4 linked regions of the Drosophila melanogaster genome follow. The protein of the gene in region 1 purifies or fractionates together with the protein of each later gene. This does not show direct contact. Each region holds a gene or a part of one and is shown in the gene's direction. Other genes may lie near its edges. The genes, in order: Ada3, Taf5, Taf10 and Nipped-A.

What was found.
Region 2: the proteins of Ada3 (region 1) and Taf5 purify together in Drosophila melanogaster (affinity purification with western blotting, with the first as the bait; one study listed by BioGRID). This does not show direct contact.
Region 3: the proteins of Ada3 (region 1) and Taf10 purify together in Drosophila melanogaster (affinity purification with western blotting, with the first as the bait; one study listed by BioGRID). This does not show direct contact.
Region 4: the proteins of Ada3 (region 1) and Nipped-A purify together in Drosophila melanogaster (affinity purification with western blotting; one study listed by BioGRID). This does not show direct contact.

The regions. Positions count from the first base shown.
Region 1 is NC_004354.4:18,083,834-18,088,970, forward strand, and holds Ada3 (transcriptional adaptor 3), read left to right. Parts: upstream 1-1,927; 5' UTR 1,928-2,078; coding exon 2,079-3,749; coding exon of another isoform or gene 3,750-3,845; 3' UTR 3,846-4,585; downstream 4,586-5,137.
Region 2 is NT_033778.4:10,876,757-10,881,600, reverse strand, and holds Taf5 (TBP-associated factor 5), read left to right. Parts: upstream 1-1,927; 5' UTR 1,928-1,995; coding exon 1,996-4,110; 3' UTR 4,111-4,289; downstream 4,290-4,844. Other genes in the region: Pex6 (peroxin 6), read right to left, coding at 1-697, 761-1,273, 1,568-1,594; nclb (no child left behind), read right to left, coding at 4,385-4,844. UniProt on the Drosophila melanogaster protein: TFIID is a multimeric protein complex that plays a central role in mediating promoter responses to various activators and repressors. May play a role in helping to anchor Taf4 within the TFIID complex.
Region 3 is NT_033779.5:2,766,180-2,769,116, forward strand, and holds Taf10 (TBP-associated factor 10), read left to right. Parts: upstream 1-1,710; 5' UTR 1,711-1,801; coding exon 1,802-2,047; intron 2,048-2,106; coding exon 2,107-2,364; 3' UTR 2,365-2,433; downstream 2,434-2,937. Other genes in the region: aph-1 (anterior pharynx defective 1), read left to right, coding at 136-528, 588-911; Taf10b (TBP-associated factor 10b), read right to left, coding at 1,158-1,598; colt (congested-like trachea), read right to left, coding at 2,466-2,937. UniProt on the Drosophila melanogaster protein: TFIID is a multimeric protein complex that plays a central role in mediating promoter responses to various activators and repressors.
Region 4 is NT_033778.4:5,248,021-5,252,981, reverse strand, and holds the start of Nipped-A (Nipped-A), read left to right. Parts: upstream 1-1,959; 5' UTR 1,960-2,016; coding exon 2,017-2,253; intron 2,254-4,961. UniProt on the Drosophila melanogaster protein: Part of the Tip60 chromatin-remodeling complex which is involved in DNA repair. Upon induction of DNA double-strand breaks, this complex acetylates phosphorylated H2AV in nucleosomes and exchanges it with unmodified H2AV.

The DNA.
Region 1 (5,137 bases):
TGATCGATCGACATAGCCGGTGGGTGCATCGCTGAAGCTATCCCCGATCATCTCAGGGCTGCGACCTTATCGCCACTATCGCCGGTGGTTACAGATTTCTCTTCTCCGGTTTAATTGGCACTGATAACGAGCCGACTGGCCTGCGACTGGGCTTATAAAACATGTGCTAGTGCCGTTTTCAAACAACAGCTGACACACAAAAGCCCCATAATCGCTGAGACATCGCCGGAACGGAACACATCGACGACGACGACGACACACGTAGACGCAAATATTTGATCAATAAAACAAGAGCGGAGGGTTTGTTCAGGTTTTGGCGGCACTGCAAATACCCTTACCCGCCCGCGGTTATTGTTCGACATATTGTTCTAGATATTATGTGCAATCCACGATGGGATTATCTCGCAAAACAAACGTGTTTGTGTGTACACTATCCTTTCTATGACGAGATATAAATTCAAATTAGCTACGATTTTCAGTTGTTCTATCTACCAGATGATATTCACATTGCCAAGATTGCAAATAGCAAAAACAAAGAATTAACTAAAGAAACAAAGAACTATATAGACTGATGATCACTTTTTACTTGAGATAATAGATGGGGGAAGCTTGTATTTATCTTTGTATTGAAGAACAAACAAAAGAAACTCGAAACGAATATATCACTTCTCTTTAATGTACACATCTTATGGAATACAAAACATGAAACCAAGCTTAAATAAAACACTTTTGTCCGCTGTTCATTTATATTAAATTGTTTTCACTGTTTATTTTAGGATCTTTAGAACCGAAACTCTCGGGGATCGAATTTTAACTTAAACAATACACTTCGCACTTTTTGATTGTAAAATAGACAAGTCGAAGTTAAGTTAATTGGCGTAGAACGAAAATAAAAAACTTTTGCAGTTCGGTGATAGATCATAGCTTAAAGGTGGCATTGCAAACCTCTTCTGATAGCGAAAATGCCCAGTTGGGAAAGTGTAGTCAAATCGAAGGGAAACAGCGTTTTGAAGCTGGGATATTTGTGCATATGTCGGCACGACTGAACCCAACTAAACCGAACTGAATCGCTGGATGTTGGCTTTTGATTTTCGTTGATTCCCGCCCGCGGGGAGGGGGGGTGTGGTCGTGAGCAGCGAAGGGGGCGTGGCGGCTGAGCGTCAATTCGACTTGTCTTGTGATTTGCGCCTCACAATTGGACAAACGAGGCGCAATTGGAGGCAACCAGTCCGAGATTATCGGATGCTTCGATGTTTTGGGTGCTTGGATGTTCAAATGTTTGGATGTGTTTGCATGCTTTGTGGGATTTTGGGGGGGTGGGGTTTGGGAAATGGGTGTTCAATTACATAAAATTACATACATACACTGCAGTTTGCACTTGCAGTTCGTCTGCGGAAGGGGGGGAATGGGTCTACTCTAACATCGCAAGCTGCTCCCACTGGCCATTACAAATTGTCAACAGTCGCTGATTTGTTAAGTACACTGCTTATCACCGAAATAGCGCGCATATCACTAAAAAATTCAGACGACGACGGGCGAAATGCGAACGCCAAACAACAACAAAGAACTGAACAAAAAAGCAAAGTATTGGTAAGCACGCGCGCTACGCGGCCACCAGTGTTGCACAGCGCTGGAGCAGCTCTGTTGTGCACGATCACTGTTATAGTTGCAGAGAGTATTTTTCACTATTTTGTGGATAAAATCAAGTGGTATGAAAATGTATCCATGCGATAATGTTCCGTTATCTTCAATTGCTGAAATAAAGTCAAATAAACAGTTTCAATTACTGCTAAAGTTAATTAATGAAATGCTAGTTAAGTATGTCTTAAATTATAAATATTTAGCTACTCATGAGAATTTTTTTTGTTTGGCCCACTGTGCATAACCCGCGCGTGTAGCCCATTCCAGTATTTTACCATCTTGTACATTAGTATTTACCCGTCTTCCGCTACGGTCACACTGCCATATCGACGCAAAACAAATTGCGATTTTCACAACACAAGAAAAGCAGGAAAAACAGCAAATATATCCGCAATCTAGCTAACACACAGGTCCCCAACCAGTCGCAGTCGCGTTCCATGAGTGCGAACCTGAAGAATATCAAACTGGCCCACTTCAGTGGTTCGCTCGGTTCCGGTGGCTTTGGCATCTCTGCGTCATCCGGAGGAGCTGGAAAACTGCCCACAAATGGCACAGGTGGCGGCAAATCCGCCCCAACGAGCACCTTCCTGGACTCCGAGGTGCTGGCCACGCCCGGCGGCGTCGTTATACCAATAATTCGCACTCGGGACGTGCCCAAATTGCTGCCCACCATTGCAGCGGCACTGCAGCGTCCGGCGGATGATCATTTGGCGGCCGAGGATCTGGATGCAGTGCAACTGGAGCTGGAACAGATGCTCTCCAATGTGGCGCTGCGCACGCGCGTCCTGAAAGCGGAGTATGATAGCCTCGACAAGGATGAGAAGCGCCAGGATCGAAGAAAGCTCGACCGTGTGCCTGGATCGCCACCTTGTCCGGCTAGCATGCTCAACGGCTTGCTGGGCATCGGCAGCAACTCGTCGACGAGTCTGGGCAGCCCGCTGGGCGGCGGAGGCGCCTCATCCTCTAGCCAATCGAAGCGCAAGCGGGATGAGCCAACGGGCGTGCGCAAAAAGCACTCTTCGATGACCATTCTCAAGCAACAGGGCGTTTCCGGCGGCACCTCGAAGCACCAGGCCAAGAACAGCCCCTTGGTCGTGCACACCGACGACAGCATGGACTATCTGCCCACACTGGCGGCCGCCAATGCCTCTGGATCCGTGCTGCCGCATCACCAGCCGCTGCCGCAGCTACCGAAAATGACGGTGCCCAAGAACGATACGCCCAACAAGTTCTGGCTATCCGTGGAGCCCTACTGCATGCCTCTAACCAACGAGGATCTGCGCCTAATCGATGACCTGCTGGAGCAGTATTGGGGTCCACTGGTGCCGCCAGTGCCACCTCTGGGTCCCCACTACTCCACAGTTTGGGCCCAGGAGGATATAAAGGCGCTGCAGCCGGGCGGAGCTCGAATTAAATCGAACAATTCCAGCGGAATGCTCAAAAAGGCCGAAGGCATGGTGGATGAGAGCATCACTGGTCCACTCACCCAGCGTTTGGTGTCCGCCTTAATGGAGGAGTCCCTGATGACGCTGCCCAGCGAACAGGCCGCCGTGGGCGAGCACAGCAACAGCACCACGAGCAGCAGCAACGAGAACACCCACTCGCACTCCTCGTCCTCGGCAAATGCTGCCGCAGCAGCTGCTTCCGGGAACTTTCGATCTCTCGCCATGATGAAACACGGCGTGGGCATCGAACAGCGCCTGAAGAAGACTCTCATCGAGAACGGACTGATCGATGCCAGTGAGTTTGCGGCCCACGAAGACGTGGACGAGGTGCTGATGGAGATCAAGCGCGTAACGACCGAAATCAGCACCATTTCGCAGTTTAACAGCGAGGAATTGAAGCGACTGCGTGCCGTTGCCAGTGAGGAAATCAAGCGCATTGCCATCAAACAGAAATTGGACATGGTGGACCAGGAGATACTCGAGTGCTACAAGCGAATGCTGCAGTATCGGGCCAAGCGCAAGGGCCACACCATCGAGGAGAAGCAGGAGATACTGCGGCTGACCAACGAGCAGCGCCTACTTGCGGATCAGCTGGAGCGTATGCAGATGCATCTGCCCTGCATCGGCGGCTCCGGCAACTCCCTGTTAGAGCCAAAGATGTAGGACAGGAGCCTGGCCTGGGGCTGGTGCCAGCTAATGGCCATGCATCAGGCAAAGAGGCAGGTCCGCGACGCTAGCCTCAAGCTGCAGTGCGTCTGAAGGAGCTGCTCCTCCTTACTCGCCACTCCTTTCATTTCGCCAGACTGTAAATTAGCCACGCTATTCGACACGTACACGTAGCCTCTAGTGTCCGCAATCCAAGTTGTGGACGTTTTGGGAAGATGCGCTCATGGTGGCGGAAAATGTTTTGCATAAGTTTTCCTCGAGTTTTGGCATTCGTTTTCCCCAAATCGAACGCCACTTTTGAGTCGTTTTCGACTAGCTTCCAAACCCGTATTCTTATCTTCGTCACCAGACTGTACATTAACAAAGATACATTAGCTCATAGAATGTAGTGTTCAAGATTAAAGTGAAATTAATTATTTAGATAAGATCTTCAAGTGGCGGAGAGTAGCGTTTGCGTATTTTAAACTGTTCTTTTACAAAATCATAATTTCCCTTTCCTTGCTTAGTAACGTATTCCGTATTCTGTAAGCCTACAGTTTTTTGCCAATTTGTTTGTAATTGCCTGAAAATTAAATGGATATCCGTAGATTTTACATGCTAAATGCTAAATTTGATTTTGTGTACATAAAAGTGGAGGGTGAGATTCGCATTATTCGCTAAATGAACTGAAAAACTTTCCGCTACTGGAATTTCCCAAAATTTTACGAGCACGTTGTTTTCCTCATGTCTTTCGCAACTATAAATATTGATTCACCCTATTTAACACTCCCAAATACATACACTTTGTATAGCTTAAGTTATCGCGCGGCAATAAAGTCGTCACTATCGAGAGTAAAGCACAGAATTTTCCACCATGGGAGTGAGTTTGGGAGGAGAGAAACCACCGCGCTGGGCGAACGCTGCGTACGCTTTGAGCTCGATCTGGCCGACGAAGCGGGCAAGTGAACTCCAGCGGATGTGGGGAATCCTCTGCCGTTGCTTCGATCTTGTTTGCCCAGCCGATAAGGCGCAATCAAAGTCGGCAACTCCAGCGTACGGCTAATTAAAGCCAAACAAGCGAGCCGGCCATCTTCGATCGGAGGAAGCCCTTCCGGGCCACGCGGATTGGCTATCTCTAGAACGCTAATCGCCAGGCAAATATATCCAGAAACAAACTTTATTATACGTAGCAAATGGCAGTCAAATCTGATCTTCTAATATGTGCAAGTTTTTAGTCTTGGGTGAACACGTCGTCAGTGGCCTTCCTCTGAATGTATGCTAGATGATGTTTGTGGGTATAAAGATTCATTGTACTTCATGTATGCCGCGGTGCATCTTGCTTGACTGGTCGATCCCTTTCGCCCGCCACCCGATCCCGTATCACAAACGCAGTCACAGTCTTTCGT
Region 2 (4,844 bases), on another chromosome or scaffold:
CTTTTAGCTTCATCTCCGTGTGGGAGGGAACTTGCGAAACGATCTCTGCGCAATCTGCTCCGTAAATATGCATCCCCAACTCTTGGGCTACGGCGCTCACAAGCTTTGATTTGCCCGATCCTCGCTCGCCTTGCAGGAGGAACACAGGAAATATGTGCTTTGACGACAGGCAGGCGGACTTTTTTGGCAGGAAAGCATCTACTGAGGAGCGCAACAGCTTATAGGGCTTTCGAAGTCCACTTGGATAGTTCTCAACGATGGCCATGCTGTCAAGCACTTGACGAGGCAGGAAACTGTGAGATGCAGGCACTTGAACAAGGTTGCTAAAGTTTTTGGCAACAATCGCTTGCAGCTCGAACTCGCTGCCCTTTGTCTCCAGGTGAATACACTTTAGGTGGACGTGGCGTAGGTGAGCGAATATCAGGTAATAGTGGGCATAAGTCGCAGTGCCCACCAACTCTGCGTTCACCTCGATGCGGTAGGTATGTCCACGATGCATGAGTCGAGGTGTATTGAAATAGTTGCTCAGGATGACCTCTGTCAGTTCGGCGGGAAGTTCATGGGGATCTGCGACTAAGTACACATGTGCTTTGGTTGCTATTCCAGGTATTGTCTGCTCATCGGCAAAATGCTCTACCTGCACCCAGCAGTTGGAGCGGATTTGAAAGCGATCCAATATGTTGCCGTAGAAGTTCTCCTGAAATTTTACACGATGTAGAATTATAGAAAATATTCCATTTATTTAGAACTAGATACCCACCTGAACGTACAGACAATTGGGTTGGCACTGTGCAGCCGGCAAGATCTGGGCCACAATCGTATGCGGCGCCTCCTGGAGCATTTGCTTGATAACCGTTTGGGTCATATTTCCTTCGTCTGAAGCTAGCGGCTTACCGATTCTTACCCTCCTGCCGCGGATAACCAAGTTGACAAAGTTGACGTCCGGCGATTCCGCATAGTTTTCGTACACCTCCTGACTGGCGAACACCAGGTGCTCCGACTTAATCTGCTCGTTCTTGATCAGCAGATCGTAGAGGCGGTTCGGAATGGGGGTCAGCAGAAACTTGCCCTTGTAATATTTGGCGTAACGCCAGTATACGGCGTATGTCAGATATCCGGGGTAGAGGAACCAGGGCCACTTGGGCGCCAGCAGCTGTATGGCCGAATTGTAGCCCTCGACTAGCTCCTGTACTCTCCCAGAGAAGCTAAATCTCGGCTGTCCTGGATCTTGTTGATCGAACGACACCGAATTCCGCTTGCCGACGACTTTTTTCTGCGGGAATTGATCACGATATTAGCTAATATGGCTTAAATGTTACATATGGACCTACCGCATCATCATTTTCATTCATTTTTTACAATAAATATGGACTAAACACAACAGAAAGCACGAGTACAAGGGTTAATTTCGAGGAGGCGGTGTCAAAGTTCAAGGAGTTGGGGGATAGGCGCCAGACAAATACACTGAAATATGCAATGGCAAGTTAATTCTGTTAATGCACAGCAAATTATTACCCTCTGCTATAAAAATTAGCTTGTTTATTTGGCCAGTTACTTTGTATTTTACCTTTTTCACAATTACTCTCCTCTTCATTACGAATGTTTTGATTCTGGTAAGATATTTGCTCAAAAAATACTAAAAGTATTCAGTCAGCTGTCCACAGTAAGACCTTTATAAGCACATCTTCAAATAATTTCTTTGACCTGCATAAAAGTTAAATATTAATTTTGTAGTAAAATGAAAGAATGAAATATGTCATTATATTTTAAGTAATTCCAAAAATTGGCAAAAAGATATAATTTATAATGTATTAATACAATTTATTTTTAGAATCCGTCTTCGCTAGTGGCTACTGTATATTTTGACTGTACTTGGTGCATTTTAGTATATTTCATTCTCCACTTGGCCGTTTTCAACCGATGCCAACCTGGTCACACTTTTCCACGCATAACAAAATAGTACACAAGTTCCATATATTTCAATTTTCCGCGAAAATGAGCCTGGAAGTGAGCAATATAAACGGGGGAAACGGTACTCAATTGTCCCACGACAAGCGTGAGCTGCTGTGCCTGCTGAAACTCATCAAAAAGTACCAGCTGAAGAGCACTGAGGAGCTGCTCTGCCAAGAGGCGAATGTGAGCAGTGTGGAATTGTCGGAAATCAGCGAAAGTGATGTTCAGCAGGTGCTGGGCGCAGTTTTGGGAGCTGGCGATGCCAACCGGGAGCGGAAACATGTCCAATCTCCGGCGCAGGGTCATAAACAGTCCGCGGTGACGGAGGCCAATGCTGCAGAGGAACTGGCCAAGTTCATCGACGACGACAGCTTTGATGCTCAGCACTATGAGCAGGCATACAAGGAGCTGCGCACTTTCGTTGAGGACTCCCTGGACATATACAAGCATGAGCTGTCCATGGTTCTGTACCCAATTCTGGTGCAGATCTACTTCAAGATCCTCGCCAGTGGACTAAGGGAGAAGGCCAAAGAATTCATTGAGAAGTACAAATGCGATCTCGACGGCTACTACATAGAGGGTCTTTTCAACCTTCTTTTGCTGTCTAAGCCCGAGGAGCTGCTGGAGAATGACCTCGTAGTAGCCATGGAGCAGGATAAGTTTGTCATTCGCATGTCCAGGGACTCGCACTCTCTGTTCAAGCGACACATTCAGGATCGCCGGCAGGAAGTGGTGGCAGATATTGTTTCCAAGTACTTGCATTTCGACACATACGAGGGCATGGCGCGCAACAAGCTGCAGTGCGTCGCCACCGCGGGCTCGCACCTCGGAGAGGCCAAGCGACAGGACAACAAAATGCGGGTGTACTACGGACTGCTCAAGGAGGTGGACTTTCAGACTCTGACCACTCCAGCGCCGGCACCAGAGGAGGAGGACGATGATCCGGATGCCCCGGATCGTCCGAAAAAGAAAAAGCCAAAAAAGGATCCCCTGCTGTCGAAAAAGTCCAAGTCGGATCCGAATGCTCCATCCATCGACAGAATTCCCCTGCCGGAACTGAAGGATTCGGACAAGTTGCTAAAGCTTAAGGCTCTCAGGGAAGCCAGCAAGCGTTTAGCCCTCAGCAAGGATCAACTGCCCTCTGCCGTCTTCTACACGGTGCTTAATTCCCATCAGGGCGTAACCTGTGCCGAGATTTCAGACGATTCCACGATGTTGGCCTGTGGATTTGGCGATTCTAGCGTGAGGATTTGGTCATTGACGCCCGCGAAGCTGCGTACGCTGAAGGATGCAGATTCCCTTCGCGAACTGGACAAGGAATCGGCGGATATCAATGTGCGTATGCTGGATGACCGAAGTGGTGAGGTAACCAGGAGCTTAATGGGTCACACCGGACCCGTATACCGCTGTGCCTTTGCCCCCGAGATGAACCTGTTGCTCTCATGTTCCGAGGACAGCACCATAAGGCTGTGGTCTCTGCTCACCTGGTCCTGCGTAGTCACCTACCGCGGGCACGTTTACCCGGTGTGGGATGTTCGCTTTGCGCCGCATGGCTACTATTTTGTTTCTTGTTCGTACGACAAAACTGCTCGTCTGTGGGCCACGGATTCCAATCAAGCGTTGCGCGTATTCGTGGGTCACTTGTCGGACGTGGATTGTGTACAATTTCATCCCAATTCCAATTATGTGGCCACCGGTTCTAGCGATCGCACGGTACGCCTGTGGGACAACATGACCGGTCAGTCGGTACGCCTGATGACGGGCCACAAGGGATCGGTGAGTTCTCTGGCCTTCTCCGCCTGCGGCCGGTATCTGGCCTCGGGTTCAGTAGATCACAATATCATCATCTGGGATCTGTCGAACGGATCCCTGGTCACCACCCTGTTGAGGCACACTAGCACTGTGACCACGATCACCTTTAGTCGCGATGGAACAGTCCTGGCTGCAGCCGGCTTGGATAACAATCTAACTCTGTGGGACTTTCACAAGGTTACCGAAGACTATATCAGCAATCACATCACTGTGTCGCACCATCAGGATGAGAACGACGAGGACGTCTACCTCATGCGTACTTTCCCCAGCAAGAACTCGCCATTTGTCAGCCTGCACTTTACGCGCCGAAATCTCCTGATGTGCGTGGGTCTATTCAAGAGTTAGGAGCACAGATAAGCTTATTTGGTATACGTAATGTAGTGTTAAGGAATGCTCGGAATGTTTAGGATTAATGTTTTGTATTTCGTTTGTGACCCATCCCCCCTGAAATGTCGATTAGTTGTTTAAGCATAAAAGTGTAAAGTGCATATATGCGCAAGTTATCAATAAATTTTAATTAATATAAAAGTCAATCATTAAGGTTCTTATATATAATTCATATTTATTTAAAAGTCATATAAAGCATATACACAGATAAATACGTAGCTGTACGATTTGCCTACTCTGCATCAGGGATTCCAAACGTTCGGCGCACGGCTATCGAGTTCTTGATGTTAAAGATCGCACAGCGCGGAGGCTTCTCTCCGCCGAAGGCCAGGGTGTAGGGATCCTCGGGGCACTGGCGCATGCACTGCAAGCGACCCATGTTGAACTCGTGCTCGTAGACGTGCTTTGCCTCTGTGCCATCAAAGTTCCACACCTTTAGGGTGCCCTCCGTGGAGGTGGAGGTCAGCAGATTAGGCTTCTGGTTGTTGAAGCACACACCGGAGATTTCCTCGTTGTGGGCCTTTACGGACCACAGCAGTTGTCCAGGAGAACGTTTGTCGGCGTAATGCAAGGTGCCATCGTTGGTGCCCACGATGAAGTAGTCGGTCTGTGTGGGATGCCACAGGACCTTCTCCACTTCACCGTCAACTTTCCACTCAATGCTGGACGAGTTGACGCCCTCAGCGTCGCGG
Region 3 (2,937 bases), on another chromosome or scaffold:
CTAAAACGTACAGTGTGGCAGCCCGAATGGCACTGCAAAAGTCTGGCAACTCTATGCGAGTCTCTGCTTCCTCTTCCCAAGTAAACCAAAACACCCACAGAGCAAAAGAAAAAACAGTAATAATACAAAGACAAGATGACGTTGCCCGAGTTCTTTGGCTGCACCTTCATCGCCTTCGGACCGCCCTTCGCCTTGTTCGTCTTCACCATCGCCAATGATCCAGTGCGGATCATCATTCTGATTGCGGCGGCATTCTTCTGGCTGCTTTCCCTGCTGATCTCTTCCCTGTGGTATGCCCTGATTCCGCTGAAGGAGTTCCTGGCATTTGGCGTGGTCTTCTCGGTGTGCTTCCAGGAAGCCTTCCGGTACATCATCTACCGGATACTGCGCAGCACGGAGCAGGGATTGCACGCCGTGGCGGAGGACACGCGAGTGACGGACAACAAGCACATCCTGGCCTATGTCTCCGGCTTGGGATTCGGCATTATATCCGGGATGTTTGCACTGGTCAATGTGCTGGCTGATATGGTGAGTGCAGCAAAGGTGCGTAATGTGCTCCGAGCAATGACAGATCTTTTGGTTTTTAGAGTGGTCCCGGCACCATGGGCTTGAAGGGCGGAACTGAGCTATTCTTCGTCACCTCGGCTGCCCAGGCGTTGTCGATTATCCTGCTGCACACCTTCTGGAGCGTTATTTTCTTCAACGCATTCGACACAAACAACTATATCCACATAGGCTATGTGGTTTTCAGCCACCTGTTCGTCTCCCTGATAACTCTGCTCAATGCCAATGAGCTTTACACGACCACTCTGCTGATAAACTACTTGGTCACCATACTTACGGGAGTCCTGGCCTTCCGGGTGGCTGGAGGAACATCTCGCAGTTTCAGAAAATTCATAACATGCCAGTAAACATACTCCTAGTATTAACCGCCTAGTTAATAGCTTTTGTATAACATTATAAAAAAAAACAAATTACCTTGTATATGCTCGATTAGTTACGCATTCTATGGACTTAAATCCCTTTACTAAATGGATTTCTTGAAAGAATGAGAATGCATTAAGATCCCAAGGTCTTTCGCAATAAATTCCCAAAACACAGATCTTAAGATACATTATTTTTAATGAGAAAAAAACTACTACAATGCATGCCATTATCTACTGACTATAGTCCACTTTCCTAACATTAATACCGTAGTCGGCCAAAGCCGGCTGCAGATCCTCCATGGTCAAGGTGAACTTGCGGTCCTTGGCCTTCGATCCTCCCGGTGTATTGGTGGTTTGCATATGGGTGCGCGCCTTGGAGTGCTGCAGTGCATCGTCGATGATGTCGGACATGTACTTCTGGGCGGCTAGGCTGATCAGCCGAACGATGCGCTTGTCGTCCGACTGAAAGCCTCCCATGTTGAGATAGTGCGAGGTGACCGCATCCGGAATCAATGGAGTATAATCTTCCAGCTGCGACATGAAGTCGCTGAGATGCGAAGATGGTGTGGTCCTATCCCGATCTCCACCGCCACCTCCTCCCGAGGATTGTCCATGACTGCTTGCGCCACCGGCGCTGTTGTGGTAAATAATTCCGAAATTGGAGCCCACCATCGAAAAAAGTGTACAATACAAATTAAACACAGTGCAGACGTAGTGATGGGAGATGCTAGTTATCGAATTATTCCGTATTGTTGCTGCCAGTGCTATCGATTCTTCTTACGGTTCGTCATCGATTACAATATAAACATACACACATATACACGCCAGCTGAGATAACAAATTTCTGGAAATAAACAATTAAAAAGTGGAAAACAATGGCTTCCGATGGCGAGGACATCAGTGTTACACCCGCAGAATCCGTAACATCGGCCACGGACACCGAGGAGGAGGATATAGACTCGCCACTAATGCAGTCCGAACTGCATTCCGACGAGGAGCAACCGGACGTGGAGGAGGTTCCTCTGACGACGGAGGAATCGGAGATGGATGAGCTGATAAAGCAGCTGGAGGACTACTCGCCCACCATACCAGACGCCCTCACCATGCACATCTTGAAAACGGTAGCTATATACCGGAAACTATTCTTTGTAGCATTTCTAATATTGGATTAAATCTGCAGGCTGGCTTCTGCACAGTGGACCCCAAGATAGTGCGCCTCGTCTCGGTGTCCGCGCAGAAGTTCATCTCGGATATTGCCAACGACGCACTGCAGCACTGCAAGACGCGCACCACGAACATCCAGCATTCCAGCGGACACAGTTCCAGCAAGGACAAGAAAAACCCCAAGGACAGGAAGTACACGCTGGCCATGGAGGACCTGGTGCCGGCACTCGCGGACCACGGCATCACCATGCGCAAGCCGCAGTATTTCGTTTAGATTTAGTTAAGCTCTAAAGTTTTGAATTGGGCACACAAATATAGCTAGTTTTCTTCAAGTTGTAAAAACATTTTAGCGAGGCACTTTCTTTATTAGACAAACTAGAAATTTGGAGCTACGATGTTAAAGAATTTGTTAGCCAACTCAATGCCGAAGAAGCAGGCAGCGTTGGCTGGGAAGGCTCGGAGCATGATGGGCGTCACGCCGCGGTACAAGGCCAGAGGTCCATCCTTGACAATCAGATCCTTGAAGACACTGCGTATGCCGTGCTTGTAGGTGCCTTCGGGAGCCGATTGTAGGCGGCTCTTTAACACGTCGGCTGGCATGCCCAGAATCCAGTAGGCCATGCCCGCCACTCCACCTGCGAAAATCGTTGAGGCAGTACTGATTTGTCCCGTCTCTGACTTCGACTTGGCCACATCCTGCAGCGCCTCGTAGACCAGGAAGTACAGCCCGTTGGCGGGCAAATCCCTGAGCATTGTGGCGCAGCTGCCCTTGAAAACGCTGCGAAGTCCACCCTCCTTGTATAGCTTGCCGGCGCAGTCGATCATGCCGTTGTACTTGCGCTCGCCA
Region 4 (4,961 bases), on another chromosome or scaffold:
TATCTTGCTGGGCCACGAACAGAACTTTAAATCCATGATTCGTAATGCGGCCTAAGGCTTCCGTTGAATTGCATGGATTCTGTGATGCTACCTATCAGTTTGTGGAGCGTGCTTATACTTGCAATCGAAGACTTATAGATAATAGAAAATCCATCTGCCCTGTGCCAAGCCAGGAGTTACTTCACTATGGGCCTTAACAATTCCAAGATTAAAACTTTCCACAGCGGTTTAATTGGCTGATCTATTCGTAAACGTCAAGGAATTAGACTCGTATATTGTGGAGATCCAGGAGATGACGCAAGACATGTCCTGACTTGTCTTGTCGCAAGGATGATTTCGATCAGATTAAATACTAAATACTTGTCTCTCAAACGTTGAGTTCTGCCTCGGCGTCGAGATATATTGTAAAAGCCCGTAGCCATTTCTTCCATTCATTTCGGAGGGTTGCCCGTCGATCGCCTCGCACTGAAACGGTTTTATGACAATGGTTTTATTTCCAATATGGGACCTAGAGTTGGGGTTTATAACGAAAACAACTATTAGATGTTTAATTTGTCTTGTAATTATTACCCATCCCTAATTCAATAATATCCCCGATTTACATTTGGGGATTAGTTGTTTTCGTTTGTTTGTTTGTTGTTTCTTCTTTGGCTTGCGGAGGGTAGCCTGCTCCACCCGACCTTTATATTATTATTATTTTTTTATGGAACTCAGATTAATTACCTAGCTCTTTTCTTAATAGCTGGTAATAATTTCTTTTCTTCTATTTTTAGATTTATTTGTTTATGTGTTTTTATTAATTTCTTTTTTTATATGTTTTGGCTTGTACCACAGCTCCTCTCTGTAGAGCTCGGCTTCAAAATTCTTTATCTTGCTTTTCTTAATATGCTTTGGCTTATACCATTACTCAGCTTATTTATTTCAGTTCACTTGGCTGTCGGTTGAAGTCATTGAAGTCATATTATTAATATTGCCTTCAATAATTAGAAGTCTTGCAGTTCGATCGCTCGATCGACCGCACTGGAGTGTTAGGTGTCAACGTCGCGTTCCGATGCTTAGTTGATTGCAATGCCGGCCGCCACAGGGATCTTTTGAAATATACACTAGTCGGCATAAGTATTTTGACAAAAAAAAGCTGCACACTTGTCAGTGAAACTTTTAAATGGCTTGATATGGTAGTATTGACTATTTTTTATTTTTTGTGTGTAATTAATATAAACTTAAAAATGAACAAACGAAATTGTTTTTATTTAAATTTAAAAAGTTATAAGAAACTTAATGAAATATGATGATTTTTTGTTTCGGCATAAGTAATTTGACAGGCCTTCAATTCAAGGTAAATAAGTCTAAATGAAGCTGGATTAGCTCCTTATTGAAAAAATGAATTTGGTTTATCCGTTTCTTTCGTCATCTATGACGATATGACCCACCATTGAATATTGAATATTGAATATTGAAATATTGGCACTCCTTTATTTATTATACCATTGAAGTAATAATCCGAGCATTTCGACCGACTATATTAAAGAACATAATAAAAAATCTAGTTATACCGAATTATTACTACATCCACAAATAAACGGAGCTAAATGTTCTTGTGATTAAATCCATCACTAACAATACACATTATTTAGTATTTTGTATGTTGATTTCCCTACACGTAAATATTTATAGAATAACACAGTTATTGAAATAAAATAGCAATAAAAAACATTTAAATTTAACTTAAAGATAGACAAGCCTGTATCCTGCAGTAAACATGCAAATAAGATGGAATTAATTCCGTGCCAATTTTTAACACTGAAGGTTGTGAAAGGTTTAATATAGATGCATCTCTGTGGGAGCTCTATATTATATAAAAAATTGAAGCATTTCTAAAATATTTTTGCGTTCCTGTTTCAAAATTTCTTATATGCTATCTTGACAAACAATTAAATCGAATATATCGGTCATACAATTTCCGACTATTCCTTTTTGTTTACAGCGGTCAAGTTGTTGAACGAGTTAAAAGGCACAATGTCGGTTATTGAAAATGTACCGGTGAATACATTTCGGAATTATTTAAATATTTTAAATGATTCCTCTTCTAAAGACGAACTTAAGCTGAAAGCTACTCAAGAGCTAAGTGAACACTTTGAAATGATAATGCAAAGTCCGGCATATCCGTCGTTCTTAGATAATTCTTTAAAAATATTTATGCGGATACTTCAGGATGGCGAACCTCAGTTCATTCAAGAAAATACAATGCAACACGTAAGTTTTAAAATTCACCATTGCATGGGCCTTAAATGAAGAAACCATGTTTGGTTGAAATAACTGTCAATGAATTTCGGCTTAAATATATGTAGTTATCTTTTAAAATGCAAAGTTGAAAATATTTTGTGTTTACATTTGTAACTCCCAATAATCGGAACTTTTATGTTTGTACAATACAATTATTTTATTAATATATTTTATATACTTATTTATGTAAAGCTATCTATATAGTACTATAGGGAAACCTTTCGGTGCCCTAGTAACAATCTTTTAAAACTGAAAACCACTGTTTCTGATATTTAAAACGACCGTGCATTGTGTTTGTGCTACGCAACTTTAAGTTTTGCGCAGATATTATGCATACATTGCCAGAAGAAGTATTATTTAAAGCATAACTTTGATTGCAAAAAAAGAGTATATTTTTATTATCGATGTCGACTTCATTAATTTTAAAATTTGAAACACATTTATTATTTATTACGTCCGTAGGTTTTCTTAGGTAGTATTATGTTTGGCAAACCAATAAAAATTTGAAAGTCACATAAAATAAAAAATTCAACAGATTTCTCAAATATGTGGGCGTGGGGTGTTTTGAACAGCTTGCCGGCGGGGTAACATGCGACTAAGTCTCTGTAGACTCGGCTAGTGATCCTGATCAGCGGAAGTTTCTTAACCCATGTTGTCTGGGGCCTGCTTACATATTCAGCACTGTTCTCAGATAAAAGAATAAGCAGAGAGGGAGACTCCACCTAATGCAAACAAGCAGTATCCAAAGCGGAGTTACCGAATAATGTAAACTAAAGGTTTTTTTTTTGCTTTTACTCTACGAGCAACGGGTATAATCATATATAATAAAATATGTCATCAAAGTTAGGCTTTAAGTGTTTACGCTGATACGGATGATACTGTTCCATAATGACTCCATTTTGCATCAGTTGGCGGTGGCTATATCTGGCACGGATTAGAAGATTTTTAATGTGCCTTCTTATATTCACCCGCCTCACATCTCAAATCTAAGAAATAAATTTTACTAGAGTTTTGTCCAATGATGTCCGAAACGTGCGATCAAAAAAGGGAAAAAATATCATTGTTTTAAGACATTGCATGGATATACTTTTTTGCGGGATAAGGAAAATAATGGTTTATACGAGATTATGCTGCAATCTACAATGTCGCCGTAGAACCTGTTTGCGTAGTACCGCCTCAAATTGAAAAGGAGCAGATTTTTGCAAACTCGCATTGACTTTTTGGGACATGCCATTGAAGGTGGGCAAATGTGGCAGGCCAAAAAATATTAAAGCTGTACAATCATTTCTGGGGCTAACAGGATTTTTCAGAAAATTTGTTCCAGGATATGCTTTAATCGCGCGTCCGCTGAAAATTTTTTTTGAAAAAAGATGCACTTTTCTACATTGGTGAACATTAAGCCATACAGCAATTAAAAGACGACTCAGACATTCCCGTACGGCAAATTTACACAAGAGATGCAGAGACAGAACTACACAGTGGCTCTTTAAAGGATGAATTTGGAGCTGTGTTGCGGCAGATGGTGGACGGCAGTTTTCATCCGGTTTATTATTGGAGCAGGAAGACTTCCGAAGCCGAATGAAAGCGACATAGCTATTACTAAGAAGACAAAGCAGCGTACATAGGTATGAAGAAGTTTCGTCACTACCTGCTAGGAATATAGTTCAAGCTCATTACAGATTGTGTCGCTTTTTAGCAGACTACAACCAAACAAGACGTACCGAGAGATGTAGGACCATGGATTATGTAAATTCAAGACTTCACTTTTACAGTAGAACACCGTGCCGCAGAAAAAATTAAGCATGTTGACTGCCTTAGTCGCTTTCCATAGAGTATGAGGGTTACTACAGAGATTACGTATTAAAAAAGCCCAGCAGGACGACGATTACACGACTGGTCAAGTATTTTTGGCTTTCCAACATGTATTGTAATCGATACAGGCTCAGCATTTACCTCGATTGCGTAAAAGGAGTTCACAGAAAGGCATAATGTAAAGCATGTATGTATAACGAAAGGAGAGGCAATGGCCAAATATTGTAGAAAATGTAAATCAATTTTGGCAATCATATCCAAGCTGTCGGCAGCGGAACCATCCAAGTGGGTCAAATATGTAATGGAAGTACAACAAATAACGGAAGCTGCTGTCCGTGAGGTTGGAGATAATCGATGAGCTTCAGAAACAGAAAAATCTCAACGAGCTCGAAGAACTGGCTTTTTACGAAATTGGAAATAATTTGATGTATTCTCGTGACTCTTAAATCCTCTGTTCGGGGGAGTTTTTAAACTGGAAATATCGAACAAATCGCTGAATTGCAATATCGCCCAAGTAATAGCTGGACACGCCGAGTCAGCCCAAATAGGAGGAGCATTTGGAAGACTTGAAGCAGCAGGACTCTGGAGACTGGATTTCGCATTGGCAAGCTATGCGCCATAGGTAGAATGTAATACAACATCTGAGTTCCGTAGTTCCGCCCTTCTTGCCCCAAGTCTCAGCCCTTCAACATGTGCCTTCTGTAATGCTCCTGGGAGCGCCCTAAAAACCTGACCCCGTCTGATCAATTAAAATTAGCAAAAAGGTTCGAACTTTTTTCTGATTCACATCTGCACTCTGCGTAACGTCTGCTACTCTTCTTGCTCAGAATCTTAGTAAGGATGTTATGCTCGTAGCCACTGCCACC